Lepisosteus oculatus: one gene and its partners. The protein of the gene in region 2 binds, or shares a complex with, the protein of the main gene of each other region. Links are inferred from orthologs where the notes say so. Each region holds a gene or a part of one and is shown on either strand. Other genes may lie near its edges. The genes, in order: gins1, topbp1 and phf8.

Evidence for each region.
Region 1: the proteins of topbp1 (region 2) and gins1 are in contact, whole or in part, in a cryo-EM structure (PDB 8OK2), measured with the Homo sapiens proteins. The link is inferred for Lepisosteus oculatus from reciprocal best matches to the Homo sapiens genes TOPBP1 and GINS1. Residues at the interface, in NP_008958.2 of Homo sapiens: Leu490, Leu491, Ser492, Gln493, Tyr494, Glu495, Asn496, Leu586, Ser587, Arg588, Thr589, Val590, Val596, Cys601, Glu602, Val603, Ala605, Thr606, Val607, Gly608, Val610, Lys629, Pro636, Val637, Pro638, Val639, Met640, Thr641, Arg726; in NP_066545.3 of Homo sapiens: Asn43, Gln44, Val47, Asn48, Lys51, His66, Arg91, Tyr94, Gly95, Ser96, Asn100, Arg103, Phe104, Arg119, Ala122, Met125, Glu132, Gly133, Leu134, Asp135, Thr137, Gln138, Asp139.
Region 3: the proteins of topbp1 (region 2) and phf8 are in contact, whole or in part, in a crystal structure (PDB 7CMZ), measured with the Homo sapiens proteins. The link is inferred for Lepisosteus oculatus from reciprocal best matches to the Homo sapiens genes TOPBP1 and PHF8. Residues at the interface, in NP_008958.2 of Homo sapiens: Gln1298, Cys1299, Arg1314, Asn1315, Glu1316, Leu1319, Arg1369, Ser1406, Arg1407, Gly1410, Phe1411, Arg1413, Leu1414, Arg1465, Thr1466, Glu1467, Ala1470, Asp1471, Gln1475, Asn1483, Tyr1484; in NP_001171825.1 of Homo sapiens: Gly842, Ala843, Cys844, Phe845, Asp847, Ala848, Tyr850, Ile851, Tyr852, Pro853, Ser854, Leu855, Glu856.

The regions. Positions count from the first base shown.
Region 1 is NC_090712.1:17,844,594-17,855,089, forward strand, and holds the start of gins1 (DNA replication complex GINS protein PSF1), read right to left. Parts: upstream 4,657-10,496; 5' UTR 4,582-4,656; intron 4,294-4,581; 5' UTR 3,850-4,293; coding exon 3,775-3,849; intron 3,768-3,774; exon of another isoform or gene 3,295-3,767; intron 3,200-3,294; coding exon 3,135-3,199; intron 2,742-3,134; coding exon 2,643-2,741; intron 2,530-2,642; coding exon 2,439-2,529; intron 2,042-2,438; coding exon 1,925-2,041; intron 952-1,924; coding exon 877-951; intron 164-876; coding exon 95-163; 3' UTR 1-94. Other genes in the region: lysophosphatidylserine lipase ABHD12, read left to right, coding at 5,524-5,666. UniProt on the Homo sapiens protein: Required for correct functioning of the GINS complex, a complex that plays an essential role in the initiation of DNA replication, and progression of DNA replication forks.
Region 2 is NC_090701.1:16,015,065-16,025,146, reverse strand, and holds the start of topbp1 (DNA topoisomerase 2-binding protein 1), read left to right. Parts: upstream 1-5,166; 5' UTR 5,167-5,497; intron 5,498-7,316; 5' UTR 7,317-7,332; coding exon 7,333-7,419; intron 7,420-8,098; coding exon 8,099-8,233; intron 8,234-9,023; coding exon 9,024-9,167; intron 9,168-9,567; coding exon 9,568-9,749; intron 9,750-10,082. Other genes in the region: dnaJ homolog subfamily C member 13, read left to right, coding at 1-108, 353-452, 2,016-2,113. UniProt on the Homo sapiens protein: Scaffold protein that acts as a key protein-protein adapter in DNA replication and DNA repair. Composed of multiple BRCT domains, which specifically recognize and bind phosphorylated proteins, bringing proteins together into functional combinations.
Region 3 is NC_090697.1:74,801,051-74,810,765, forward strand, and holds the start of phf8 (histone lysine demethylase PHF8), read right to left. Parts: upstream 4,920-9,715; 5' UTR 4,370-4,919; intron 2,935-4,369; 5' UTR 2,816-2,934; coding exon 2,718-2,815; intron 1,948-2,717; coding exon 1,862-1,947; intron 1,225-1,861; coding exon 1,104-1,224; intron 445-1,103; coding exon 284-444; intron 1-283. UniProt on the Homo sapiens protein: Histone lysine demethylase with selectivity for the di- and monomethyl states that plays a key role cell cycle progression, rDNA transcription and brain development.

The DNA of each region.
Region 1 (10,496 bases), on a different chromosome or scaffold from region 2:
GAAGCAGGGACAACCCCCCCACATCGGTGTCGGCAATGTAGGATTTTAGACCTATTAAAAGCCACTGCGGTCGGTCCCTGTTGGTCCCTGTCGGTCACGACAGCACGTGCTCCAGCACCCCCTGTCGGATCAGGTGCTCACACTTCCATCGTGGAAGAAAGTGCTGAAAAAGACCAGACTGTTACCAGCTACGGCTTTCTAATGAGGTTTCCCCAAAGCTGTACTGCAGAAGAGAAACTGGTTGCAGAATACTTCCTAAGCTTCTTTTCATGCAATGACATTAATACATTTGTTAGAAGATGATAAATCGCATATCCTTTTATTACAAACTAACAGTTCATTTTTCTTAATAATATCATGTGTTTTATATGCTAAATACACAACCCTGTAACCAAGGGATTTATTGGATGAAAGGATAAAGCATTTAAAATACTTTTTGGAACTGTTCCAAGATAGTTGCCTTTTATTCTTGTTAGAAGTGATCAAACACTTAAACCTTGCTGCCACGCAGCGCTGGGGCCCTGGGCTCAGTTCCAGACCAGGGGTGCTGTCTCTGTGGAGCTGGGGTGCTCCAATTTCCTCCCACAGCCCAGAGATGTGCTGGTGGGTTAATTGGCCTCGGTGTGAGAGTGCATGTCTGTGTGTGCCCTGTGATGGACTGGCACTCTGTCCAGGCTGGAGCCTGCCCTGTGCCCATCACTTGCTAGGATAGGCTGTGGCAACCTTGAATTGGACAAATTCCTTTACAAAATGGACTCAGTACATACTGTTTCCAAACTTTATATAATACTGCAGAATATTGAGAATTGTAATAAATACACCTATGTTCAGGAATTCAATCTAACACGCCCTCTCGTCTCCCCAGTGGACTCATACCTGGCTGTTTTTCTTCAAGAGGATGATGGTTCCATCATCGATTTCAAATTCCCCATGGTCTTTAACACATCGGACCTTTGGAGAAAAGTCACAAGCCTTATTGGAAAACATCTCGTATGTTTTGCAGGGGTTCTTACCTGCGAACACATTTACTGTTGATGAGCAGGAGAATTCTGAAGTAGTTATCTGTTCCAATCGTGTTCCTGCGTCACGCCCTCCACGTTTGTACTTGATATCTCGGGGACTCCACTCAAAGCTATGACCCTTCGTCACCTTAAGAGGAACAAGGGCTGCGTCCACTGTCCACTGTCCTCTGACCCACCCATGGTGCCCCAGAGCAGTGACTCTCACCTACTACTCTGTCTCATGCAGTTTTGGTCCCTACTCTTGACCAGTTAGGCTAAGGGATCTGTAGTTCTCCGAGTACTTTTTTCAGCTCTAACGAAGCTGAACAGGGGCAGTAATTACCATCAACGCTGAACCAGTCTTTGAGTTTCACTGTCCAATAGCTGGACTGTAGGAAGTCAGACAGCTGTGGAGCAGTCCCTTTGTTTCTAGTGGGAGTGTTGGCTTCATTTCCTTCAGTGTATTACAGGTTGTGTGGACAGAAGCAGCAACCACTTCAAATGATCAAGCAGAGAAAAGAATTCTGTTCACCATATTTCCTTTGGATACAAAAAACACACTTTTACTTTGGTATTTCTGAAGCCAGAAACACAGGGATCAGTCTACCTGCAGCCATACATGTACAGTATATTGAATGTCAATATTGCGCCACTGAGGCCAGGGCTTTGCATTACTGTGGGAAGCACCTCCCCCTGGTGGTTTAATAGGAGTTTACAATGGTTGCATGTTGATACATTTCTCACCTCATATACTGTAGGTCCAGTTCCTGCAAAGTGACTACAGCTCTCAAAGCTTTAATAGAGTTTTCATTCATTTGAGGGTAAGGAGGCAGAAAAGTTACAATAATTGTATGTATAAAAATGCCCACCAGGCTTCAATTTCAATAGGGCCTTTTCTCCCAGTACAGCTGTCTGATTCTTACCTCAATATACAGACTCTTGGGGGGCTTCATGTCCTGTGTGATATCCAGGCCCTCCTCTCCTCCCAGAGACCTCATGTAGGTAGCCAGGGACTTCTTGTACTGGTTAAACCACTCCAGCTAAGTGGGGAGAAAGGTTTAGGAGAAGCTGTCAGCAGCATTTTCCCAGCTGACAGCAAGCTGCCCCATCAGGGCTCACAAGCAAACTGCACTAAGGGCACTTCACATCCAATAGAGGTCCTAGGAGACAGCGTCTGACCCTGGCCAGGCAAAACTCCACAGAGTCCATTCATCCACTTTCTAACGGCTTTGTCCAGTTCAGGGTCACAATAAATAACGGGTACGATTTAGGATACACCCCGGAAGGGACACCAGTCCATCGCAGGGCACACACAGACACGCACACACTCACACCCGCTTCTCCTTCTACACAATCGGGCAGGCACAGGTCTTAAAACCCGAAACAGGTTTGCGATCACAGCCGGGACGGGGAGGACGTCGCTGCCCCCGCACTCACCTCCTCAGCGCTCATGTGGAACCTTACGGATGTGGGCAGGACGCTGCCGTACTCCCACCTCAGAGCTCGCACGCGGAGCAGGCGATCGTAGCTGAGTGGAGAGGTGGAACAAAGCCAGGTCCGTCACTGACAGCACGCGTGAGCAAGACTAAGAGCCAGCAGTGCTGGTGTGAGGAAGGGCGGACGCGCAGCCCGGCTGCTTACAGATAGGCAGCGATGCACCTCTGGTTCCGGAGCAGGCAGCAGTGGCGGAACTTGATGGTGGGGATCAGTTCACTCGCTCCCTCCGACTTCGCCTCGTTCCTGGAACAGAGCATTTTAGACACAAAAACGACTGTCTAGAAGACTATGAAGTCTATCAACCAGACCCTTCCCCACCCATCTCGCATTACGGTACTCCAGTCCTGCAGGATCTGAGGATTTCTGGTGGTCTTTTTGTCCGAGCCCTTAAATGAACCGAATAAACTGCTGCCCGCCTTTCCTTGTTTTCCATATATATGCTGTGGATTTTCTAAGGACCAATAAACCAAACTGGACAGCAGCCCTTGAATACCGAGGCTAGGCTTGTCTTTATTTTACTTATGCATACAAAACATCATTTCTGCAACAGAACAGAAATACTGGGCTCCCTGCCACCTCTTTTACACAAAGAAATAAAAACCACGAAGCAAAGCCTGTAACGCAGCTGTAACTCACACGTCACTCTGGTTCTGCTCATAGAGAGCCTTCATCTCTTCCAGGACCTGTCTAATCCCATCTTCCTGCAACGACAGAAAATGTGCAGAAAATCAGCCTGTTATGCTATACATGAATATGCTGCTACGTGAAGTTAATACAGTTAACACTGTTAACGTACATTCGTGACAAAAATGTTCAACGAGTGGACTGAAATTGTTGTATCGAGGTCCGTCAGGTGTAACAATAATTTTGCAGAAGATATTGCTCATTTCAAGACTCTCCTTCCGTGTCAACAAAGAAGATTGTTTGACATGCAGCTCACATAAAAATCAGAAAAAAAACAATTGTTAGAGCCTTTCGATGTCCCCAGGAATAGTGAAAATGACTATAATAGACTCAAATACACGAGATTATAATAACGTTTGTCTGAAATTCTTGCAGAGAGACAAAGAACACAAGATGGTCTGCCGCCGACGTGAGGTAAACTGGCTCATTTAGTTTTTAATCGCTGCTTGAACCAAGTAACTCATCCAGTCGATTACTAAAGGACGCGAGGGAGTCACCTTCAGCAACACGGCTGAATATCTTGTTCCAGACTCGACATATCAGACATGAAACAACGGCAGACGAGGCGTGAGAACATGGGACCTAAACTTACATTAAACGCCGGTAACTGGCCATCGCCGATGCGATCCAGCTCTCTGACGAGCTCGATCGCCTTTTCACCAAACATGTGGCGGAAGAAAACGCGTTCGGTTTTATGAATCGGTTCAGAGAAACGGCGACCTTTCGATGCCGACTCCCGCTTTCTTCACCAAGGGATGTGACTTTTCGAGTGTGATCCACAAGCCTACAGCACTGCACTTTTCCGCCGTGCGATTTTCGCGGGCACGGTTGTTATTGCCACGCAGGCCGCAGAACTACGGGTCCCAGCCGGGGACAAACCGTCTTGCTTGGTGGGGGAAATTGCTGGACAATATGTATACCAGCTGTGGCCTTTGAGGAAGGTCTCTGAAATGACGTTGTTTCTCTTGATTTTGCTTGTTGCTTGTCTTTATAGTACAGATTAATCGGAGCAATCTGAAGACGCTGGTGCAGTCATCTCTTCCGGGCAGCGGAGGGTTAATCGTAAAAAGGGTTGTTGCTGCCGGATTGAATGGCTCGCTTCCGCGAGTTCCTGGAGTTGGGAGAAAGACATTACAATCAAATGTTTGAAAAAAAAAACAGTTTTATGAATAGGACCCCACTCCTGATTGTTCTGATGCTCGTATGCAACCCAAACCCAAACGCGTGCGGTGAGGCTACGTGCCGTTACTGGAAATAATAGCAGTTTTTTTTCTCCTTGCGGGAGATTTGTTGAAACAGCTAAAGGATATTCTGAAACAGAAAGCATCGAAAGTTTCTACTCCTTTCTAGCTAAACTAATCACGGGGATTCCGTGCCGTGTGTCTTTGGTGAAGACTACCGTGTGAAAGAGAGGGATTGTGGCTTCATGTATTCATTTCATATGCCTTGAGCATGTCCCTCACGGACACATGGCTTTCTGTGAGCGGAAGGGGCGTGTGAGTGTGTCTTTTGTGTTGCTGGAAATAAAGGATTAAGTCGACCAGGAACCTGCAGAACTAGTGTATCTGGTTTACCCGTCATCACATCCCCCGCCGACCCAAATCACAGTCGCCATCACTGCTGGGTGAACTGACCGCTTCCCCGGTGCTGCTTCTCTGAAGACACCAAAAAACAACCACCTGGAGACACGGGAGAGGAGCTCAACCGGCCAGGAGCAGACTTTCAAACGTAAAGAAATCTGAATTTCCACAATGTAATAACGAAGTCGAAACCGTTAAACGATATTTTACTAGGTTCCTTCAAACGACTATGTAGGGGGGCGGGGGTAGGTTTTAAATAAAGACGGGTTCCGTTGCGTTTCCTCACACCAGCGGTTCAATTGCGCCTGAGATGCAATCCGTGGAAACAGCCCCAAGATAAGTCATGTTTAGCGCTACGATGTTGTCGGCAGGGCTGTGCCCCGGCTCGGCTGTCAGGCAGGTTTGTTGTGCCCCGCACAAAGATGGCGGACAGGGCTGCGCCGATTGGCTGGCGGGGAGGCCAGGTGAAAGGTTGTGCAGATCAGCTGGTCGCTGCGGTCCTCCTGCTCGGCTGCTGACAGTACAGTCCGACAAACTGCTAAAACATCAGCTGGGCTGGTGGGGGGGAGAAGGCAGCAGCGTCGTGTCCGGCTTCTCTTCCAGCCTCGGGGTTGACCTCTGTAGGACCCGGGACCAGGGCTTAGACGTCGCAGCAAATTCAACTCGTTTTCCTTCCTCCAGAGATCCCGAGCAAATCCGCGCCGTGGAGAACTGCTGCTTCTTTTTTTGTGAAGATTAATCTGGTCCTGCGAATTTCAGGGATGCGAAAGAGGAACAACTCGCCCGCCGTGGATCATGACAGCTCTGTCACCACCAGCACGGTGCTGGACAGCGGCGCGCATCTGAGGTGCTGCCGGAGACCGGCGGAGCCCGACCCGGACAAAGCAATGGTGCGGAGACTGAGGTGAGGCGGTCCGGACTCGGGGCTGTTCGAGGGGTTAGCTGAGCCCAGGAGTTTGTTTGTTTGTTTGTTTGTTTTTAAACAAAACACACCGGTCAAATTGTTAGTGCTGTTAATAACGAATGAACAGCGCAATGCAGTCGTCCCCTCTTGGGGTGTAAAACACGTCTCGGAAGAGGGGTAACACGTACTGCAATTCAGGAGTACGTTGTCCAATGTGAAAAGTGCGACAAGCGGGAGCTGTCACTCAAAAGTCCCTTTCCAACCAGGCACCGCCGTCGTGGAAGTGTGAAATTTTGCCCACAACCAAATGAGGCGCATCACCGCGAAGCCTTTTACTGTTATACTGCAGCAGGTAAAAAAAAAAGTGTACACTGAAACGTCTGTGTACTGTATTACAGTTAACAGCAGTAACACGGCTGTTTATATCTGTGATAGTCTTTTTCCGGATACAGCGGTTCTCGGTACATTTAGATAACCGATAGAATCCCCTAGGACCAGGTGACAAACGTTTTGCATCTCGGTTCAGCGAAAGAGCATCATCTGTATGATATTATGTAAATACAGAGGTTCATGTCTTTTTGAGTACAATTGTTAAGCGGAGAGGTCTTTATTCTACGTTTTAAACTTATCATTATTAGTAGTGGTAGTATTAAGTCTTAGAACAAATAACACACCTGACCATCAATACAGCTGTGATACAAGATATCAGCCGAGGGCAGGTGTATCACCCTGCGTTTTTTGTAACTGAGTTTAATCTAACACTGGTTAAAGAACAGGCTGGAAAAAGCAAAGGCTTCTTTGCTTGATGTGTTACCTAATCTAAAGGAGACCACAGAGGAAGGTCATTGTGCTCTGAGCTTACAATAAAATACATCCATATTCTGCTGACTCATCATCTCTTTTCTGCAAAGTCTGTCCTTTCCCTTTAAAAGAGACTTCCATTATTTGGACGTAATGGGGACAGAGAAATGATTTCATATTCTTTTGCTGAGCTGGAGCTGCATTCCAGGAGAGAAACGTGTTGTCGTAGGTTAATCATGACAAAATTCTCAGAGCACCTGAATTCTTCATGGCTCTGCTGCACCTTGAAAGATAACTGAAAAACAGTCAGCGTTGTGGATGAAAACACCAGGATCTCGTGAGGGACTTGCTGGATTTGCACCTTGTCAGACAAGCTTGCAGTAATCACAGAGTGAAGTCATTTGAATGCAGATTCATTGTAATTGCTGTATTGGGAAAAACCAGCAAAGCAGGAATAGTAAACGGAACCGGCGTATTTCTAACACAAGGTGGAGAAATGCTCCTTCGGTCTCTAGTGTGAATCCTGGGAATGTTAGGAAAAAGTACTGTTGGAGAGGTGATGAACATTTATGTTCTCACCTTCAAAGGAAAAATCTGAAAGCATTTGGCCCAAATTGCAGTAAAAAAATGTGAACACCCTTTAGAAACCACACCAAGGTCATACTGGTACTGACATGTAAACTATCTTTGTGCTAACCAATTTTAATTGAACTTCAAGGTTTCCAAAACAGAACAAAATGAGGAGAAAACAGTATATGTTTTACAGTATATGTTAAATTGTGTAAATGGTTACAAGTTTTTCTCTGGAATGAGAGGCAAAAGCGTGTTGACTTTTGCATGAAAATACTCATATCACATCATCATTGCATTGGCAATACCTGTGTATCAAGGTATTTTGCAAGAAAATAGGGGAGAATGTACAAAGTTAGCCGTTATTTAGAACATATTTTGTTTAATGAGATGCAAATTCAGTCAAGACAGATAAGACAGTAAAATAACTAGAAATCTCAGATGGGTTTTGGAAGTGCAGAAAGCCTGACAATGAGGTGGTTTTATAATTTTCAGTCCTTTTTCTCCCCTCTTGTAAATCTCCCTCAGGGCTGTTGTCTGTCTCGTTTCTCTATAGTAGTACTTGAGCTCCTGAGCAAGATCCGCTTACCACACGTATGGCTGTTATCTCAGGTGTTTAAAAGGATGATGGACACAAGGTGTTGTTTTTACGGATGACATCAGAGGGCATCCTGTAGCCAGACAGTTCAAAGAACTTTGGATGGTGTCTTTGCATGTCAGCTGTTATACTGTATGTTGTGTTTTATCTGCAAAAAGCACTGGTTTTCAACATTTTTCAAGGTTAACATCTAACTTGAAATATTTGAGCAGAAATCGAATGCTTGTAATTTTCCTAGATTGAAATCTATCCAAATAAAATTTCATGGAAAGTTTAGTGTTTGACATGCAGAAATGTGGATGTGATAAGCTAACCTGCTGATTATCATACAACTTGCTTCACCGAGGAGCGAATAAAATACTGTTTTGTCTTCTTTAATTGTATATGGCTAAAATCCTAATTTATGCTGGAAGGGTCTGAGCATCCATAAAATTAATGTGAGCAATATCCAGAAAATAAATTAAATATAAATTAAATTGAGCAAAGTTTGTGGCAGAGCTCAAAATAAAAGCGTCAAGCCTAGTGTGCAGTATAATATGGGGCTTTGATACACTGCATGCTGATGTCATCCACTGATGTTTTGGCACCTTATATGTTTATTCGCCTAAGGGGGGTCTGGGGCAGTGAGGTGGTCAGTGCTGCTGCCTCGCATCAGCACCCTGCCCCTTGAGGCTGCTGTATGTGAGGCATTTGCATGTTTTCCCTTCTTCCTGTGCTCATATGGTTTGATAATTGGTTTTGTTCCTTAGTCCCCATTAGCCAGCTCCACAGTCACGCATTGGCTAATTCTTCATAATCCGCCTGTCCATCCACTTTCTAACTGCTGCTTCCAATTCAAGGTCGCTTGAGAGCAATCCCAGCAAGCAACAGGCGCTAGGCTGGGTACAGCCTGGACATGATGCCAGTCCATCACAGGGCAGACACATAGACACACACACCAAGGCTGATTTTCCCAGACGTCAATTAACCTACCAGTATGTATTGCCAGTATGCACTCTGGGAGGAAACCAGAGCACTATGAGTGAACTGCAAACATGGAGAGAACATACAAACTCCACACAGATAACCCCACAGGTCTGGAACAGAACCCAGGGCCCAGCTCTGCAGTGCCAGCCACTGCGCCACTGAGCTGCCCTCGCTTAATAATAACAACACCAGTCCACCTATGAAATGGGGAAATAGCACAAGGGATGTTTGAACGTTTTCAAAATCTGACAAAACAAGAAAAGGTGGCGTCCATTAGTGTCTGAGCTGTTGCATGTCGTTGGTTGCGCAGAGTTGTCAGAAGTGTCAGGAGGTCAAGTTCAGATAGATGGCCTACACATGGTGAATGAGACTGGCTTACCCCACTGAATACTTTCAAAAATGCATTTTAAACCGTATGAGACTGTACGTTTCAACACATAACCACCTCTTATCGGTGTTTTATTGTGAGTGTGAAAGAGGACTACTGTATTTCTTACAAGATTCACTAAACCATATACAATTAACATTAAAAGTCTTGAATTTTGTGTTATGTTTAAGACAGGAACTGATGATCATCAGTATGGTGTGTGCTCAAGCTACACTGTTTAAAACCAGAATCATGCCAGATTGTAAAGAAAGCACTGCAGTTGTCCTCTCCAATTTTTCAGAACTGAAACTGCTGAGGGAATTGTAATTTTTGTGCTGTGGGAGTGCTGGTACATGTGACCCCCCCCACCCCCGTCTGTTGGAATTTGGAAGTGAAGCAACAGCTCACAGAATGAAGTGAAATGTGACTTTAAAGCCCTCGTTTTACCTTGCTGTCTGCCAGGAGCACTGAGCTGTAACCTGGCTTCAGGTGTGTTCAGGAGCAGGTCCTCCTGTCACGTGCAGCACCAGTCAGGCAGAAACAACAGGAAAGAAGTGGCGTTCTTGTCCCTATTTGGACAGTTGTACTGTGAAATGTCAAGACTGTGTGAACGGTGACTTGGAGAAACATGATGCACAGGGACATGTCACCTACCTCTACACGGTCTCGCTTCCAGAAACAAAAAATATTGCAGGAAATGTCATGGTAAATACTACAGCATGGAAGGAAGAACTGGTCCAGCCGGATTTTCAAGAGAGTGACAATATGGGAATGTTAATTTATTTGTTGGAAAGGTGGGATAATGGGAGACGGGGGATAACACAGGTTAACAAGCTCTGAATCATCAAGGCGGTGGAATAGACGAAATGCCTGTGCTGTGTAGGCATACGGTAGGTGAATGCACGACAGGCACATTACAAAATGTAGGAACTCTAATAGTGATGAAGGAAGGAATTGAGGATCCTGAGATCAGGACAGTTTGTGAAAGGCCATGTCTTTCTAAGGCATTTTGATGTCATCACGAGGCCTGTGGGGGATCGGGGGGGTCTGGTGTCTGCTGCTAGAGTCAAAGACTTGGACGCTAGAGAAGAGGTTGGAGTGTGTTCTGAAATGTGAAATATCAGTGGTCACTTGATGACCATCCGCAGCAAGAGTCGATGAAGTATCGTTTGCCTAGCGAGGCTGTCCTTTGCATGTGTGATCCTATCCTCTGTGCGAATAGTCTCTACTGTTCAGGAATACCTGATTGCCCCTAGCTCTCTGACTGGAGCAATCTACACATTTATTGTTTAGACTTGTGGCTTTTGATGTTCGACAGCAGTCGGATTTCTTAAGCATGGTCGAGACCTGAAACACTGCTTCAACAGGATGCAGAGACGGCATTATTCAATACTAAAGTCCAAAGCTCTTGACAGGGCTGTACCTTGTGAGAGGAGGGTAGGTTCAGACAAGAGTTGCCGTCTTATCTAATCACCATTCCCCAGAAAGCTGCGAGGAATGGCCCGCACCCCTAGCTGGTCAGGTGACT
Region 2 (10,082 bases):
CTGCTGGAAGGGGTTGGTCTGGAAACGCTGGAAAACCCCGCAGCCACCAAGGCGCAGATTGTAAAAGCACTGAAATCGATGACGCGCAGTCTTCAGTACGGCGATCAGGTACGCCCCCCTCGGCTGTTTGTGCATGCAGACTTCGTAGAACACACGACCAGTATTCAAGTCACTCGGGGAGGGCAGAGACAGGCTGCAAGGAGCCTCTTACAGAGAAGAACTGCAAGTCCATTGTTCTGGTTTAGACTTCAGAGAGTTGGCAAGTTGCCTTACAGGAATAATGTGGTATCTGTTAGCAGGGTTTTGCAGTTCAAATAACCCCTGGCAATGTTTATCACTTTCTTTTTTCTAGGTTAATGAAATTCTCTCTCGTTCTAATGTCTGGAGTGCCTTCAAAGATCAGAAACATGACTTATTCATCTCAGAGTCACAGACTGCAGGGTACCTCACAGGTTGGTACCTAACTTTCTTTGCTCCAGGACGTTAACTGTGAAGTTCAATTTATCTTTAGTGACATACTGATTATTCTGGGAACCTAATGCTTATACAGTATATATACTGTAGATCTTCTGAATGACCACTTGAACACATGCACATACCTCCTTATTTGTTAGAATACGTTGATTGGTTGCCAATTACAGTACATCAATGGACTGGAAATCCAGTGTATGACTAATATTTGACATTAGTTATGTCCTGAACAGCTACCTTATGTGAGTTAATATGATATGTCTTTTATTGTGTAATAATCATATAGCAATAAGAGAAATGCAGTGAAAACAATGTACATTGAGAGTGCTGTACTACCTAATAGAAATGAAGTAACCTTTCAAGAAGGAACAAGTAAAAGGTTTATTCCATGCTGAAAAGAGAAGAAAGAAAACACACCTGTTTTGCTGTGGAGCCTTCTTCTTTGGTCCTTCTTTCTCTTCAGGGGTCTCCACACCCGAAGAAGGCTCCACAGCCGAAATGGTGTGTTTTCTTTCTTCTTTTCAGCATGGAATAAACCTGTTACTTGTTCCTTTGCAGCCTGCGTATGTTGACGCAGCTCCCCACCTGAACTGCTTCAACCGTATAAGAAACTTACGGAAACTGTGGCAGGAGATGTACCGTATGCACCTAGATGAAGTAGATCACGTTCAACTATTCATATTTTGGACAGAAATCAAATATTTTCTGAAGCCGTGCTACTAATTCTGGAATTTGTGCCGGTTGCCCCTTTCCCTCTTAGTTGGACACTGCTTCTCCTCTTCCTTCGCCTCTGGCATTCCTTCCTTTTTCCTTTTCTCTTCAGGCGTCTCCGCACCTTCCCTTCTGAGTGGTAGTAGCCCTCATCACCTCAGAAGTGGGCTCTAGACCTCTTCTCCCAGGGCTTCTTGCTTACTTCTCTCTAGCTCTGAAGCAGGTAGAACACAGTGTGTTCTGGTGTTTTCCTTTATCACATGCTGTTTCACTGTTGCCTTTCTCTTTGCGTATTGTGTCACAATATACGTCCGATGAATATCATCTTCATCTTAATACATTATGAGGGAACATGCAGTAGATATCCAGCTCGCTTTCCTTTATTCTTAGACATACTTGCTGAAAAGGTCATAAAATTTTACTTTCCAGCCTCCTTTTGCCATTTAAAAGAACACTCCACCTGAACTTGAAAAATTCACCAGCGAAGATCTTGCCGACACTGAGTCTGCGCTTAGCAAATAGAAACTTTGTTTTTGTTGAAGGTCACAGAGCAGAGCGGAAATATGTCCACAGCTGTGCATGCTTTTTAACAGAGTGGAACCATTAAAAACATTTCACAAATGGGTGGAAAAAAAACTATGCAAAATGCTTTGTAATCTTTTAATGTCTGCTTTAGGAGTAACTGTAGATGGAGACAGTTTTTCACCACCACCCCAGCCTCTTAAAGAGTGTCGGGGGATTTTTTAAATACATTTTTATAATTGTTTGCAACACCTCTGTGATATTTGAAAACTTGACTTTATTCATTTCTTTTTTTTTATGTTCAACTGCAGGTCCCGGAGTTGCTGGCTATCTTACCGCTGGGACAGGATCCACAGTCCTATCTAGTGTGCCCCCCCCTGTTGACAATGACGTTGGAGACTTGGGCTGAAAGGCTTCAGTCTTTCGAGCTTGACAGCGACCTGTGGAACATGAAGTGGAGACTTCCCCAGTCCATAGGATTCTGTTCAAAGCGTTGTTGCCTTTTTTTGTTTTTTTTTTTGGTCACAGTGACACAAGCATAATTTACTTTTCTACGAATATATTTTTTATTTGGGAGAAAGGAGAGAAAACAAAAAGATCAAGGAAGTCATTCCTGTCCTCTCGACCTTGTCAGTTTTGATACACAGCCCCCCTGCCCCTTGAAGAAAACGCCAAACAAGATGTGTCAAGCAGAGGCAAGCATTTGTCTTGCCCTACTTAACGTGTTATCGGTTTACAAGACTGTGAATCTGATTTATAAATTGTTTTCCTAATTTTTATAATGTTGTTTTACAGTGCTAAAGATAAAAAGAAAACTCGACTGTGGTGTTTTATTACAGTCTACTTGTACTGCTCTAGAAACAAAAAACCTGTCCACCACCTCCACCATCAGTTGTGGATCTCGCTGTGTGCAGCACTGTCTCTGAAATCTAGTTGTAATATTGACTGTTCATTTGATCAAGTCCTGCACTTCTCTGCTTCTGCTGTACCTCTTCCCAAACCTTCTTTCATATTTTTTTCCCCCCGGAGTACAAAAAGCACTAGATATTTCTACTCACAGTATAACTGCCTTTACAAACTTATATGAGCTTCTGCAAAAAAGAGGAGGAACAATAATATTGACTCGGATTTAAAATATTATGTAAAAGACTAGTGCGTTTGTGAAATGTTCTATATAATATGCCGTATATAAACTTTCTATATTGAATGTACATTAAGAAGAAAAAAAATCAGCCACTCCTGTACATAAAATTTTAAGAATAAACAAAGGGAATACACATTATCGTGTTCTGTGTCTTAACATTTGGCCTGCATTTATTACGCTTCAGTGTTTTCAGCCACTAGCCTGAATTCTTCTCAAGGAGTCTTTAAGTTAGCCAACTAACTTAATTTCACTGTGATCATCATTCAAGAGACAATGACATTTGAATAGCCAGTTTTTTCACAAGAACATGTTACCTTTTAATCAGTGATTGTCTTGTAACAGAGACACTTATTAAAGGATCACCCATATGCAAAAATAAAGCTCCAGGTATCCTATTACACTGTATAACACTTAAAGCAATTTTATGCATTATAGAAAAAGGTCAGATATGATCGTTTTGCATTAATAGATGATGGTGAGTAAAGTAATGTTAAGTAAAGTAAATGTTAGCAAACAATACATGACCTTAGGATCACTTTTTTATAATTTCTTATGAATACATTTGTTATGTTTTTGATGTTTGCAAATTATAACTGTTATGTGAAAGCTGCTTTTTCCTAGTAAGGGTCACAGCAAACCAGGATTCTATCCCAGAAGGAAAGAAAGGAAGTGTGGCCTACATTCTGGATGAGACACCAGTCACTGAGAACACGTACACAAGCACACAGGGACAATGTAGATTCAATTTATAGATGCTTCTCTGGAGCACAATATCTCATGAACACAGAGAACGTATTCCAACTCTACATGGCAGGAACCCTGATTGATTCAAAATCAAATCCAGGACACGTGCTTTTTATAAAGATTACATGTTGCAGAAATTCATGCACGTCAAATATAGCGGAGCGGTGACTCTGTGGCTAAGGATCTGCGCCAGTGGCTGGAAGGTTGCTGGTTCGTATCCGAGGCCAGCAGAGGAATCCTACTCCGTTGGGCCCCTGAGCAAGGCCCTTAACCCCAACTGCTCCAGGGGCGCCATATAAATGGCTGACCCTGCACTCTGACCCCAAGCCTCTCTCCCAGTCTGTGTGTCTCATGGAGAGCAAGCTGGGATTTCATTTATTATCTACTGTTCCCTTCCTGATGGCTTTGTTTGGTAGACAGTTTGGTACCATATGTAACTTATAAACATATTATTAACATATAAACAAATAATTTACATCACTACAATTTTAATACTTTTGCATTACAAAAATAAAAACTTGATTTCTTGGCTTAAGGCTCCCCAATCTCTTGTCCATATGTCCTTTTATACACCTTAAACATTACTTCTGTTAAACGTCTCTTTCTACTGTACATATATATATATAACAATTCAAAATACTTGTCCACAAATACTAAAATAATTTTTCTAGCAGCAAACCCGTTTGTTCCCGTTTTGCTCAGCTTTTTGTCAACGATGTCGTTTTAAACAGGTCAACATTTACAGTATCTCTTTGCACCCAGTAGCATTCCAGTTCAAGTGTGAACCAGTGCGTGGGGTAGTGTTGTGTGGCTTTGTTGTGATTTGGTTAATTTTGCTCTTTGCTAGCAGCGCTGGCCTCACGTCAGTGACTCTACTGCAGCTGACAGTAGCGTGTGGAACTGGGATCCTTGTCACTGTTCCTGTTGGACTGAAAACGTCCCTCTATTCCGCTCCTTTTCAAATAAACTGCGTAGTTTTGCATAGTTACTGTAGATAGAAACAGCTCTTTAGCTACTTATGTTTATCTGAGGTATAAAACACTATTCAAATACCAGTAAAACGCTTTACTATTGCAGTCGTATATGTTTTTTGTCGGAAAATCCTGCTTAAAGAAAATCTTCTCAATAGTAATCCTCTCATTTGTACGACGTTAAATTTAAAGCTGAAAACATCTCTATTGATGTGCTTTTTTAAATCAACTGCACTGTTTTGAACAAGGTTCTGTAGATATAAGAGTTCGTTTGCTAAACACGCTAATCTGAGTAATAAAACACTATTCAAACACCAGTAAAACAGGTTTACTATTGCAATCGAATTATTTGTGTCAGAAAACCCTGTAAAGAACCTCTTCTAGATAGGTATCCTCTAATTTGCACTACGTAAAACTTAAGTCCATGTTGCTTATAAACAAGTATAATCAATTAAAACAGCATTGCGAGTCGCCAAATCCAATGCAATACCTGCTATTGCACACCCACTGCGAAAGGAAAGACAATCTCACGTGCTACTGTTTGGAGGGAGCAGCTTCTCCTCCAGCTGGGCATGACGTCAGACAGAGCGACGCGAGATACCGGTTCTGGGCAGGAAGTCCGGCGCCGGACAAGGAGGTGGAGGTTTGGCGCCAATCAGTGGCAAATCGAAAATACCCTGTGTTCTTTCTTTAGGGAAATTGTTATGATGTATCTATCTCAACGAATGACTTGTTTTGAGAAGACGCTCCCTTTTTTCTTTTCTCTTCGTTGTTGAGTGTGAAACTCAAGACGGCGATACTAGCCGAACACTGGATTGTCAACCCGGACTAAAAACGCGAAACGCTGAAATACGAGCTCGCAGGATCTTGTATTGTAACTCCCGGTTTATTTTATGCACTTGCTTGTGGACACGGTGTGTTGAACCGGGACGTGGTAAGTTCAGCATTACTGAATTATTTCCGCACATCGCTGACTTCACGTGTACAGCTGTTTGAAAAATAGACGGGTTGATAGTTACTGTTTGAGCTTGTCCGCTTTGAAATTGATGAACATTGATCGCATTGAGCAAGTACCGCAAGTTGTCAGTAAATCGTGGCTTTGCTCAGCTGTAGTTCCGTCATGTGATCGTATTGTTATGTTCCGTTCCTTTTCCCACAGTGAATTTTGGTTGGTTTCTTATTTTGGTGTTTTGAAATGCCGTTGGACCTTATTTGTTGTGGATTATTCTCTATTACATTTTATTATTGTTACACCTGTATTTAATTAACTGTTCTTCAAGAGAAGATGAGAGTCCGATGACTGGTGGGCTCTTATTCATTAGAACAAAGACGAAACAAGAGCAATCAGTTTTAGACGTATTCAGTTCCATAATATTACAATTATTACCCCTACATTGCCTTGTGTGTTAACTGTTCTGAAAATGTTCTCAAACTGTAACATCAAGGTGCAGTTATGCTGACCCTATTTTTAATGTAACTGAGTGCAGGAAAAACAATGATGTACCTTATGCGGCAGGAGTTTCAGTCTTGCGATATGATCGTTTTTAATAATAATAATTGCTTACACTTGACACTCCACTCAAAACTCCACTCTGGACACTCCACTCAAAGCGCTTTACAGGTAATGGGGATCCCCTCCACCACCACCGATGTGCATCATCCACGGCAGCCATAGTGCGCCAGAACGCTCACCACACATCAGCTATCAGTGGGGAGAAGAGCAGAGTAATGTAGCCAATTCATAGATGGGGATTATAAGGAGACCATGATTGGTAAGGGCCAATGGGAAATTTGACCAGGATGCCGGGGTTACACCCTTACTCTTTTCGAGAAAAGCCCTGGGATTTTTAATAACCACAGAGAGTCAGGACCTCGATTTTACGTCTCATCCGAAGGACGGCGCCTGTTTACAGTATAGTGTCCCCGTCACCATACTGGGGCATTAGGACCCACATGGACCGCAGGGTGAGCGCCCCCTGCTGGCCCCACTAACACCTCTTCCAGCAGCAACCTTGGTTTTTCCCAGTAGGTTTCCCATCCAGGTACTGACCAGGCTCACACCTGCTTAGCTTCAGTGGGTTGCCAGTTGTGAGTTGCAGGGTGATTGTTTTTGTTTGCGAAGGAACAGGTAACGGGTTTATTCCATGCTGAAAAGGAAAGAAAGGAAACGCAACGTTTCGGCTGTGGAGCCTTCTTCAGGTGTGAGAAAGACAGGGCAGGCAGCAAAGATTAAATAGCACAGGAGAACAAAAGCTGGGAGAGGGGCGAGATAGAGAGGCCACTCAGGAAATGCATATCGGAGAGGGGTGAAGGAATGTGTGAAGTCGAAACCTGTATGAGAATAGAGAAGATTACATGAAAATAAGTTGTCTTTGAGAGAAGGGGGAAGGTGTGAACCTAGTTTCAGGATGCGTTTCGTTTCTCCTGAAAACTAGGTCCCCTTCTCTTAATGGCAGACTTATTATCACGTAGTCTTCTCTATTCTCATACAGGTTTCGACTTCAACCCTCTTCACTTTGCACCACCTGAGTGGCCTCTCTGCCTCTCCCTCCTCCCAGCTTTTGTTCTCCTGTGCTGTTTAATCTTTGCCGTCTGCCCTGTCTTTCTCACACCTGAAGAAGGCTCCACAGCCGAAACGTTGTGTTTCCCTTCTCTTCATTTCAGCGTGGAATAAACCCGTTCCCTTTTCCTTTGCAGCCTACACCTGCCGACGCTGCTACCTACTTGAACTCCTGTCATTTCTGTTTGTTTAGAAACATTGAATATAGGATGTCCACGGAAGATAAAGGAGTATTCCTCGTGAAGTTTGTGAAGACCAGCGAAGAAAGATCAGAGCGTGCCGTGAAAGCCTTTGAGGTAAGGAGTTCCTTTGACTGCTGCCTGGACTGTTGTTTGACTTTGTGTCTGACAGCTGTGAATACACAATAGACTCAAGGTTCTAACAGACAAGCCAGGCTTTTCCAGAAGGTTTGGTTCTAATGACTTGTGCCCGCTAATATGATGTCAGCTTGACTGTGGTTGGGTAGCCTTAGGGTTAAAACAGAATGGCCAAGGTAATAGGATAGCAGTTTGCTTTTCAGGCAAAGGATTTGGAGTATAAAAGTAATTTATATACACACACCTGAAGAAGGTCCCATAGCTGAACTGTTGCTTAATTTCTTCTCTTTTCAGCATGGGATAAACTAAACGTGTTCCTAAGTAATTTATATGTCCCACTAATGGATCACTTATAGCATTGCTGTTTTTAATATGCGTAAATGACATAACCAGCCACATGACCTAAATTTATATACTGCTTATTAGTTGTGGATCAACTGGAACCACTTCTAAATCTAAAGTGTTCTGAGATCCTTTTGGGATGGAGGAAATTGTAGTGGAATGGAATTTATTATTGTCAAAAGCTTATTAGTCTAATTTTAATTCCGTCTTACTGTTTCCTTAGGAGATGTTGCTAATGGAATCTGTATCCCACACATTACTGTATTCTGGTTTTCATCGTTTCTAAATTCATCACAAATCATTTTTTGTCTTCCAGGCAATCAGAGAGCTGCAATCGGAAAAATACCTCCAAAATATAGATGAGAAGGAAGCCCTCCTTTTAAAACACAATGACAAATCCCTCTATGTCTTTGATAACTTCAGTGGGCGTGCATTCCAGCACTTTAAAAAGGTTTGTACTGTATGTAGATACCATATGGATATTTTGCCTTTTTTGGCAAAATGAAAATATGTGCTACCAGGCTCATTCACGTGAGTGGAAAACAGTGCTGTAAATCCGTGGTGTCTGAAATGATAATTTACTCATTCTACTGACAAATGATCAATACATTTTTATTTTGAATTCTGCTAGTGATCTTAAGTAATTCTTTGTGTTAAAGATAATTCAGTCGTGGGCGGAATGTTTTGTTTTTACATTATTAATATGCAGTTTACATGGCAGAATATATATTTGTAGGAATCATGATTTCAAATGCTAGTGGAATAATAGTGTCAATTTTAAATGTACCAAACGACCAGAAACTGCTCCTGTGTGCTTCATGACATCCTTGAAGTTTCAATATTTAAGATGTCTGTCTGTAATGTAATACTATCTGCAATAGCATTGCAGAGTCCATATTCTTTATGTCTTATGGGGACTGACAGCAATTGGTTTGTATCCAATTGTATCTAAAAATATTCAATGTTTGCCATATAAAAAACATAAACATTCAGTGTAAATATTCAATTTAAATATATGTAAATATGCAATTAGTACTTATGGACAGTATGCCATTATAATATTTTTTTTCATATAACAGTATTGATTTTCTGGTCTGTGTAAAAATGATGAGGTATTTTCATATGTTTTACAGTTTTAGCTCTGCAGGTGAGAGATTTCTCTTGTAGAAATTATGAATTGAAATGTAAAGGTGTTCCCTATGTCTCCTGGTTTACATTGAACTCTCCTCCTCTCCGTGTAGCTGGGCTGCAGGATTGTCAGTCCCCTGGTGGTCCTCTTCTGCCTCAAGCATCAGCGCTGTGTGCCTAAAGCAGAACTCCCCGTGTACAACATGGCCATGGCTGACGTTACCATCACCTGTACCAGCCTGGACAAAGACACCAGGGTATGCGCGATTCACACTGCTGCCAGGTCTCTCCAGTGACCCAAACAAGCCATGTGCCTTTACACGCGACAGATTCAGACGCTGAAATTAAGGGTCAGCAACCCGCCATGAAAGCTCTGAATGCTTGTTAATGTCGCCTTTAACATTCATTAAAAATCACTGAAAATGGAAATGAGATTAATGCCCTTTATAGTTTTCCTTATGCATTTTGGAGTTCAAGCAACGGAATAGCACCTCATTCATTCTCTGTGACCTGATTTCTTTTTTTTTTCTAACTGTTCCCATCTAATAGAGGGAGTAAGCTGTGTTGTATGTGAGTGCAAGTACAGTTGGTGTGAAGTGGGTGCGACACATTTTCCGAACATTCTTCTTTTCTAACTCGCCTTTGATTTTTCATTAGGGAGAAATAACTGAGCGGGTGCAGTTGATGGGGGGCCGGGTGTACAAGGATCTGAATGTGTCCGTCACCCACCTTATCGCTGGGGAGGTGGGCAGTAAGAAGTACCTGGTGGCCGCTAGCCTTGGGAAGCCCATCCTGCTGCCCTCCTGGGTGAGGGCATGCTGGGAGAAGTCCCAGGATAGGTATGCTGTAGTCATAAAATTCATTTACTGTTCTGGATGAGCAAGATTCAGTAAGGAGTGCACCGTACTCAGTGAACCATCTGGTTCTTCTGTAATCTTCTTTAAAAAAATAGATTTGGAATCCCAAAAAAAACATACTCAATTTCCTGGGGAAGATCCATTTATCTGGTTAAGCTCATGAGATATCGCTGAGGTCCAAGTACCTGCTGCAAGCGATCCTGCTATGGTAACATCACGATTGGCGAAATGGCCTACTCTGTCTTGTAGCTGCTCTAACCTTTTTTGCATATCAAGTGGAAAACACCCACCTGGGTTTTGGAAAAAGGTGGCTCT
Region 3 (9,715 bases), on a different chromosome or scaffold from region 2:
CTATCCCTATGGCAAACAGATCCAGGCCACACAAACTGTTGGCAACAGTGCCATCACAACAACAGTAAATTATCCCAGTGCTGCAGGTAAACGGTTATATCCTGTGTTCATAAGACACTGGAATTTCTAACTGTAAACCTGCCTTTGATAATGATATCAACATACACTAGACTAATCCTAGCAATATGCGCCGGGCACTGCACACAGACTTTCTCCCACAACACAGCACACACTCTGACCTGCGCAGGGACACACACACTACCACACACGCACGGGTGCTGACCGATGTAGTGCTCGACGTCGCCGACGGTGAAGCTCGGCGGCGGCAGGCTCATGCCCAGCCCGTCCTTCCTCAGCACCAGCACTGGCACGCTGAACGAGCGCTCCTCCAGGAACTCCACCGTCAGCTGGGCCCCCGTGGGCTTCAGCAGCACCTCGTCCGCGCTGGGGGAGAGAGGGAGGTCAACACAGCCTGCCTCAGGGCCTGTACAGCACAGGGTCAGTAAGGCACACAGCCTCTGCACTGAGACTGAGAGGGCCAGGACAGCACAGGGTCAGTAAGGCACACAGTCTCTGCACTGAGACTGCACAGCACAGGGTCAGTAAGGCACACAGCCTCTGCACTGAGACTGACAGGGCCAGGACAGCACAGGGTCAGTAAGGCACACAGTCTCTGCACTGAGACTGACAGGGCCAGGACAGCACAGGGTCAGTAAGGCACACAGTCTCTGCACTGAGACTGCACAGCACAGGGTCAGTAAGGCACACAGTCTCTGCACTGAGACTGCACAGCACAGGGTCAGTAAGGCACACAGCCTCTGCACTGAGACTGACAGGGCCAGGACAGCACAGGGTCAGTAAGGCACACAGTCTCTGCACTGAGACTGACAGGGCCAGGACAGCACAGGGTCAGTAAGGCACACAGTCTCTGCACTGAGACTGCACAGCACAGGGTCAGTAAGGCACACAGTCTCTGCACTGAGACTGCACAGCACAGGGTCAGTAAGGCACACAGTCTCTGCACTGAGACTGCACAGCACAGGCTCAGTAAGGCACAGTCTCAGCAGTGAGACAAGCCATGATTTAGCATGAAGCTGTCTTACCTGGGAAAGGTCCGGCCCCGGAGCTCCCGGATAAACTGTGGACTGCCTGTCTTCACAGGCCGACCTGGATCTCTCACTCCACCCACAGGCTCCTGTTTGTGAGATCCCCGGCGCTTCCTCACTGAAACACACAGAGGGGTTAATACACACACTGCTGTACACACATACTGCACTGAGGCAGAGGGGTTAATACACACACTGCACTGAAACAGAGGGGTTAATACACACACTGCTGTACACACACACTGCACTGAGACAGAGGGGTTAATACACACACTGCTGTACACACACACTGCACTGAGACAGAGGGGTTAATACACACACTGCTGTACACACACACTGCACTGAGACAGAGGGGTTAATACACACACTGCTGTACACACACACTGCACTGAGACAGAGGGGTTAATACACACACTGCTGTACACACACACTGCACTGAGACAGAGGGGTTAATACACACACTGCTGTACACACACACTGCACTGAGACAGAGGGGTTAATACACACACTGCTGTACACACACACTGCACTGAGACAGAGGGGTTATTACACACACTGCACTGAGACAGAGGGGTTAATACACACACACTGCACTGAGACAGAGGGGTCAATACACACACTGCTGTACACACACACTGCACTGAGACAGGGGGGTTAATACACACACACTACACTGAGACAGAGGGGTTAATACACACACACACTGCACTGAGACAGAGAGACTGGGAGAGAGAAGCTCTAAACAGAGCACTCACTGACGGAGGGTCCGTGTGTGACCTGGCAGTTGGGACAGTGGTAGAGGTCAATCTCTGTGGCTTTCTCCTCCTCCACCCCGACACAGCTGCACACACAAGAACAGCAACACCGCCGTTACAGGGAGTCGCGCCGCCCCCGCTGGCACCCAGCCCGCGATCTGAGCGCCGGCCCGCTTCACGGTTCGACCCAGGGGCACGCTCGTGAACTCTGGAAAAGTTCTAGAAACACCCGTTCCAGAAAGGAGCACCCCACTGCAAACCAGCAGACACTGCATGAATCTCCCCATGAGGGCCACTGACCGTGCAGGAGGAGGGTTCCGCCCCAGTAACACGGCCTGCTCTCTCAGAGGGGTACTGTGGTATTGTGGGACGTGTATCGCTGTCCTTACAGGGGCACGCTTTCCTAGTATTTTCCGTAAAAGAGGAAACCGTGAAGAAGTCTATCCATGCAGTCTAAGACAACGAAATGAAGCGCAGACTAATCTCACTGCTTCTGGGCTCTGCTGGGCTGGGCTGTGCGCTCGTGCTGCGACTCTCTTGGATTGGCTCTGGACAGTTCTTTCCATCGCCTTTTGTGTGTTTTCTTTTTTTGGGGGGGGTTAGGGTAAGGGTTAGGGTTAGGGTTGGGGGGGGTGTTTGTATTTGTTGCCTGACCCCCATACCTCCATATTTAATGGCGCATGAAGCGCATCACCCCAGCACACTGTACACAGCGGAGGCATGGCGCTGTGTTAGCGAAGCGACTGTGCCGGCGGCGAGTGCAGGCGGCGTGGCGGCGTGTTTGCGCGCGGCCTGCGGGCCGTGGATACCCGCCGCAGCGTCACGGCGGAGACCGCGGCCCACCTCGCCCCCTTACCTGCCGTGAAACCAGTCCTGGCAGACGTCGCACTCGATCATGAAGCGCGTGACGTCGTACGGCAGCCGGCACAGGCAGTACACTGGCACCGACGCCATGGCGACAGGGCCGGGCGGGGCCGGGCGGGACCGAGGGAGAGGAGTGCTGGGCGTGAGGACTGGCTGTCTGGCTCAGGCAGCGCCGTCAGACACACACTGTCTGGGCCATGACTGGACACCTGGAGGAGACACAGAGACGGGAGAGAGAGAGAGTGAGACAGGAGAGAGAGAGAGCAAGAGGGAGGGGGCAAGAGGGAGAGACAGGGGAGCGAGAGACAGACAGGAGAAAGAGAGGGAGAGAGTGACAGGGGTGAGAGAGAGACAGGAGAGCGAGAGAGTGAGACGGTGCAAGAGAGAGACAGGAGAAAGAGAGTGACAGGAGAGCAGGAGAGTGACAGGGGGCGAGAGAGAGACAGGAGAGTGACAGGGGGCGAGAGAGAGACAGGAGAGTGACAGGGGGCGAGAGAGAGACAGGAGAGTGATGGGGTGAGAGAGAGACAGGAGAGTGATGGGGTGAGAGAGAGACAGGAGAGTGATGGGGTGAGGCAGAGACAGGAGAGTGAGAGAGTGAGGCAGAGAGAGACAGCAGAGCAAGAGAAACAAATCCAGTGCTACAGGGGGAGGAAACTCAGCAGAGCTGCAGCCCAGTGGGTGATCTCCTGTCAGCCTGAGGGAGGGGGAGAGAGCCTCTCAAATAATAATGTTGTACATTTCTTGCTGATTGTTTTTGCTTTGGCGAGACTAATTCATCTGTCTCGCCAATAAAGCTATTTGAATTAAAGTAAATTAACTTCCACATTAAGCTAATTAACGAATAAATTAAGTCCCATTTACTTAAATCGGGCTGGCTGGCATTCTCGAACCGGGTTCCCTCCGTGAAAACGAAACCCCAAATTCATCATTTTATAGTGACTGTAGTAAATTACAATAACGGTAACAGTAAATAAACTCGAAAACAAAAAAAAAAGGAGGGAAAGAAAAAGCTGTATTACAGTAACAACTTCGAAAATAACGGAGTTTTATTATTTTAAAATTACTTTAATCACAGCAGGCTCATCAACAAGTCCGCAACAGCACTGTCGGGTAAGTTAGTGACTGTCCCCATGCGACCCCGGCTCGCAGCGCTACATTAACAGAGTCCTCGCCGATAATTAACAATTAACAGCCGCTCTGTCCACCGGCTCTGGTTGTGTTTTTTTTTCCCTAATAATTAAACGCTGACGAGCCGCCCGCAACGAGTCCCCAGCTTGCGTCGGAGCGCGTCTCTCCGGGCTCAGGAAGCGGTTCGCGGAAAACAACACCTAAATAACTCGGTCTTCACCCCTAGAGGGAACCTGGATAACATACACATGTGTGCGAAAAGATATCAGCCCCTTCGAAAAGAAGAAAAAAACTATTTTATTTCATGTTTTCATCTCTTACCCCCTCTACATCGGAGATCCCAGATCTATTGTTGGGAGCTGGTAGTGGGCACAATGGAAAACACTTTTTTTTAATTACTCGTGTAATTAAATTTGTTTTATGCGTCTATGTACAACTTAACAGCTTCCTCTCGGAGTTTTTCATCTGCATGGTTGGCTCAAACAGCACTGGCACGGCCAGTGAGCTACTTACATACATCAAAACCAGCCGGCTCCCGAGTAGTCCCCCGCGGCGCGGCGCCCAGCACTCGAAGTCGGACCGACTTCCAACTAGGTGCCGAGGACTCACCGCGGCCCAGCCTGCGAAGGGCAATTTATTCCACAAAGACGCCGAGGAGGTCTTTTCTGACCACTGGTGCCGTTTAAGGGGGTCGAGAAGCTGCCGAGTCGGCGGGTCCCGGGGCCGGAGGCCAAGAAAGTCCGCTTATCAGGCACGAACAATCGGAACAATTTTGAACAACTGCGAGAATCGCGCTAAAGCGACGCCATTGCTCCTCCGAGCGGGCCTGCTGTAACCCCGTCTGTCCGCTGGGGGGCGGAACGAAGAAGTTCGAGCGAGAGGAATTGGGGTCGTGGCCGCTTACCCTGGAACAGAAGGTGTCTATGTTCTGGCTGAGCCGTGCCGCAGAGCAGACCGGGCAGGGGGCAGTTCTAGTGTCTCTGTCAGGAGCAGAGTGGCTGGACAGGCTTACTGTAAGAGTCACTGCAGGCCGGACATCTTTGTAGACACCCTCACGGGCATGCTGATGAAGAACAGACACTTTGCTGCAAGCCAAGGATATCGGTGGGGGTGGAAATGTGGACAGAGATCCGAGTGGCTCTCTGCTCGTTTGTGTAAGGTACCGTGCTTGAATGCTGTAGCCCCGTCGAGTGTTGTTAATATGGGCAGCCAGACATTATAGAGAGAGATTGACTGGCATGGTCAATGGGTTCGAGTGTTTCAGCAAAGCGACCAATCAGCAGCAATTTGCAGTCAAGCACCAAAATATTTAGGACAATAAATATTATTTTAATTTATAAAAATGATTAAAATATTATAAATAACTTATTTTTTTCCTAAGGAGAAGGTTGAGTCCCTGTGCCTCAGGCTGTGACAGGAGATCACCCGCTGGGCTGCAGCTCTTTTGAGTTTCCTCTCGCAGTAGGATCAGTAACTGTTTTGATTCAGGCAGGTCTGGAAATTCTGGGATTCAGTTGCTAATTTTAGGGAAGAATGTTCGTCTAATCTCAGAATGGTTCAAACAGTGCAGCAGAAAGTGTGTCTCTGTCTCTTCTTCTTCCTTGCTGGCAGTGGGGGGGCACAGCCTGTCCTCTCTGGACAGCCAGGGCTGCCTGTGTCCAGCCTCTATGGCCAGGTGTGGTCACTGAGTCTGTCCTCTCTGGACAGGCAGGGCTGCCTGTGTCCAGTCTCTACGGCCAGGCTGTGGTCACTGAGCCTGTCCTCTCTGGGCAGCCAGGGCTGCCTGTGTCCAGTCTCTATGGCCAGGCTGTGGTCACTGAGCCTGAGCTGCATCAGGGTCTGTTTCCTCTTGCTTTCTGACACTGGTCAGATACTTGTTCAGAGTTTGTCTCCTTATTGGTCACAGTTAGAAAACACCCGCCAGCATTCAACGGACACAAGCAGTCCTGAGCAACGGGTCAGCCTGGCCTTGTGTCCCCTGTGGAGTCAGGCTGGCCTCTGTCACTGAGGAGATGGACAATGTCTTCAGAAAGCCTTCCCAGTATCCTTAGAGGTGTGCTCATTTTATAGTGGCAGTCCATAGTACATCAATATAAAAGTATCTGCCTATAGCATTAAGGACCAAAATAATAAAACTATATGTAGATGGATATGCAGTAGATGTGGACACATGAGACAGACCACCAAGAGCTTTTGAAAAGTGCTGGTGCACAAACAGCGCCTCTAGCTGGGCTGCCCTGCTTCCCAGCATCGTGTGGCCTCTGGTTTCCCCATCTGCAGAGCTCTCGGTTCATCAATCACGGAATCATGAATGAAAGACATGAAGTTTTAATAGTTCAGGTGGGCAGCTGTGGCAGCACGCACAGGCTGCAAAGGAACAAGTCAAAGTTTTTTCCAGGCTGAAAAGAGAAGAGAGGAAACACAACATTTTGGCCGTGGAGCCTTCTTCAGGTGTGAGAAAGACAGGACAGTAAGCAAAGGGAATGTGGCAGGAGAACAAAGGCTGGAGAGAGGAGGAGCGAGAGGCGGGAGCAGGGGACAGACAGGCCAATCAGGATAGGTTTAGAGAGGTGTGAAATGAAACCTTCAATGAGCAGAGAATCTAGAAGAAAAGTAGTCTGTCGTTAAGAGAAGGGGGAAGGTGTGATCCTAGCTGCAGGATAATTTTGGTTTCTGTAGTCTCCGGGACTCGGAGACCGCTTCAGAGAACGTCAGGGCTGTGCAGATTAAAGATCTCTCCAAGCCCACTGTTTCTCATTTCACCTCTCTGATTAGACGGCCACGACCACTCTAATCTCTCCGTCTGTGTTCTCAAGGACGGTTTTCAGAACGCATACATCAGAAAGACTACCGAAACCTAACTTATCCTGCAACTAGGATCACACCTTCCCCCTTCTCTTAACGACAGACTACTCTTCTTTTAAATAATTTTCTCCATTCATTGGAAGTTTCATTTCACACCTCTCTACACCTCTCCTGACTTCACACCTCTTGATTTCTGTCCCCTGCTCCCGCCCCTCCTCTCTCCCAGCCTTTAGTCTCCCGCTACATTAACTTTGCTTACTGCCTTGTCTCTCTCACACCCGAAGAAGGCTCCACGGCTGAAACGTTGTTTTCTTTCTTCTTTTTTCAGCCTGGAATAAACCTATTACTTGTTCCATTAATGAAAGACATTAACCACGTACAGTATACTGCACTTGTGGCGGCTGACGTTCCTCTAGGGACTTTTCACAGTCTATAGGGGGAAAGTTGAAGTCTCCCAGAAACACTATCATGGCTTCGGAATGTTTTGCGACCAGCCAGATCCATACAGATTCAGAGACGCGACTCCTCCAGCTTTATTTCCGGAGCCCGAGTACCCTTTTGGATGTGTAGCTGTGCACCTCCTCCTCTTCTGTATTTTCTGTGTCTCGGGAGCACCGTTTTCACCAGCATTCATCTCCATCATTTACAGCAGTGGTTCCCCAGTCCCGGTCCCCATGCCCCCCCACACCTGCGCCCCCTAGTGGGGGAATCGGGAGGACCCTCCTCTTCCAGGCACTTGTGGACAGCAGGGTTCTGGTACCGAACCGCCCGCGGGGCTCTGGGGAGCATGTCTCTGTAGGTGCCATTACCCACCAGGGGGCGCAGTCTTGGCAAGGGCACTGGAGACTTCCCACCCCAGGAGTGAGCCTTGAGCAGCGTGTCCTGTGCCGCTGCTGTCCGGTGGGGACGTTCTTGTCTGCGTGTGAACGGCGCTGTTCTGCGTCGCGCAGATAATACCCCTGTTTAAGCAGCGAGAGCCCTCTCACTCTATAAACATCCCCGAGTACAGCAGCACAAGAAAGGCGAATTAGATGGGCCAGTGGGGTCAGTGTGCAGAGCAGGCACGGCCTGTCTGATCTTTCCCATGATCCCAAGCAGCACGATGTCCTCGATCTGAGCAGCTGGCTTCCAGTGGGGTAAAACCGAGCGCAAGAGCTCAGACTGACCCCACAGCCCTACCCCCTGGACCAATGATGGAGGTCCAGTGGGAATCTGCCATCTCAGGGACCAGGGTCCCCCCCCCATAAACCATCAAAGAGCTGCAGTTCACAGAGAGGCCAGAGAAAGACGATAATGGGTAGAGAGCAAGAGACAGACAGCGCGTTCAGCCTCTGGATACAGAGAGAGAGAGACAGACAGCGCGTTCAGCCTCTGGATACAGAGAGAGAGAGACAGCGCGTTCAGTCTCTGGCTACAGAGAGAGAGAGACAGACAGCGCGTTCAGCCTCTGGCTACAGAGAGAGACAGACAGCGCGTTCAGCCTCTGGCTACAGAGAGAGAGAGACAGACAGCTCGTTCAGTCTCTGGCTACAGAGAGAGAGAGACAGACAGCTCATTCAGTCTTTGGCTACAGACGGGCACAGAGAGAGAGACAGGGAGAGAAAGACAGACACAGAGCAGCCCAGCCTGCTCCTGCAGAACCACAGTCCAGCAGGTCAGCCGCCGATTCCATCACACTGAGTCACATAAGTCAGGAACAGCCAGCCATTGTACTAGAGCTCAAGAGCACCAGGATTCCAATTCCAGGAACCCCTCACCTCGCCACTCCATCACACACATGACCTCCTAGCAGGGTCAAGACAAAACCTCTTCTCAGAGATGCGTCAAGGGTGATCTGTAAGACCCGCTGGACTGCGGATCTCCTGGCCATACTGGATGGACACTAACAGCGAAAGAAGAGCACAGGTGGGAACTCCAGTCCTGGAGCACCACAATCCAGTCCCGGTTTTCCAGGTCTCTTTAGATCACCATCACCTGGAAGCCCTTGAAAAGTGTTAAATGGGTCCAGTGAAGTCGGAGCAAGAGAGAGCAAAAACCTGGAGACAGAGCAGCCCCCCAGGACTGGAGCTGTGTCCCCCTAATGCAGACAGGGACAGAAAGAGAGAAACATGGGTTTTACTAAAAGAATAGATTTTATTTTAAGCACTGTAAGTTACTTTCCAACAGTAGAAACAAAACGGCAAAACTCTGGCTTTGTTTTAAAATCTTGGGTTTTTTTTTCCATTTTTTGTTCCAATAAAACAGACAAATAAAACCATTCTTTAGACAATCCGATTCCCTCCTTTTTTTTTTAAGAACAATAAAATAAGAAATAAAACTAATTCCAGAATACAATCGATCACATCTCTTTATTCACCAAGAGACACACAAGAAAAACAAGAATTGTTTTTCCCAAAAAACCTTTCCAAACTTACATCGATAAAAGGTCTAGATGGAGTCTGTGCTGATGCTGTGATTGTGTGTTTAGGTAGAAGGATTTTTGCCAGGGGAAACGAGCCTGGAATAGTTTTTATACCACTAGAGGGAGGGGAAAGTTACTGACGGCATTAAACAAGGGCAACCATTATAATAACACGACCAAGAACTTCAGAGAAACTTGTCAATGGATATATACTTAATTTTTTTGACTTTACTATATATATATACTTCTGTGGATTACAAGCAGGGCTCAATTCTAAGCTACAGTTCAAAAACTTATTGTTTCAGATAAAACTGTGAAAAATTAGTAGTAGTAGCAGAAGTAGCAACAATTTAAAAAATTAAAACGCGGCTTGTGTCAAGATAGTAATTGAAACTAAAGTTTCCGATTTTATTCATTACTGTCTTTTCATTAACCTCACTAGGAAATACCTGACAGCTAAACGGATTAATAAAAGAGTTAGCTTAAAAATATCATCATCAATATGGTTTGAGGAGAGGCGCTGGTTGGGAAGAGTCGGGGATCTAGGAAGGACGAACTGGGGAAAGAGGAAAACGGGGTGTCGGTAAGATTATTCGAAAATATTACAAACTTGTTTTTAATTTTTATTTTATTTTATTTTTTGCGACGTCTTT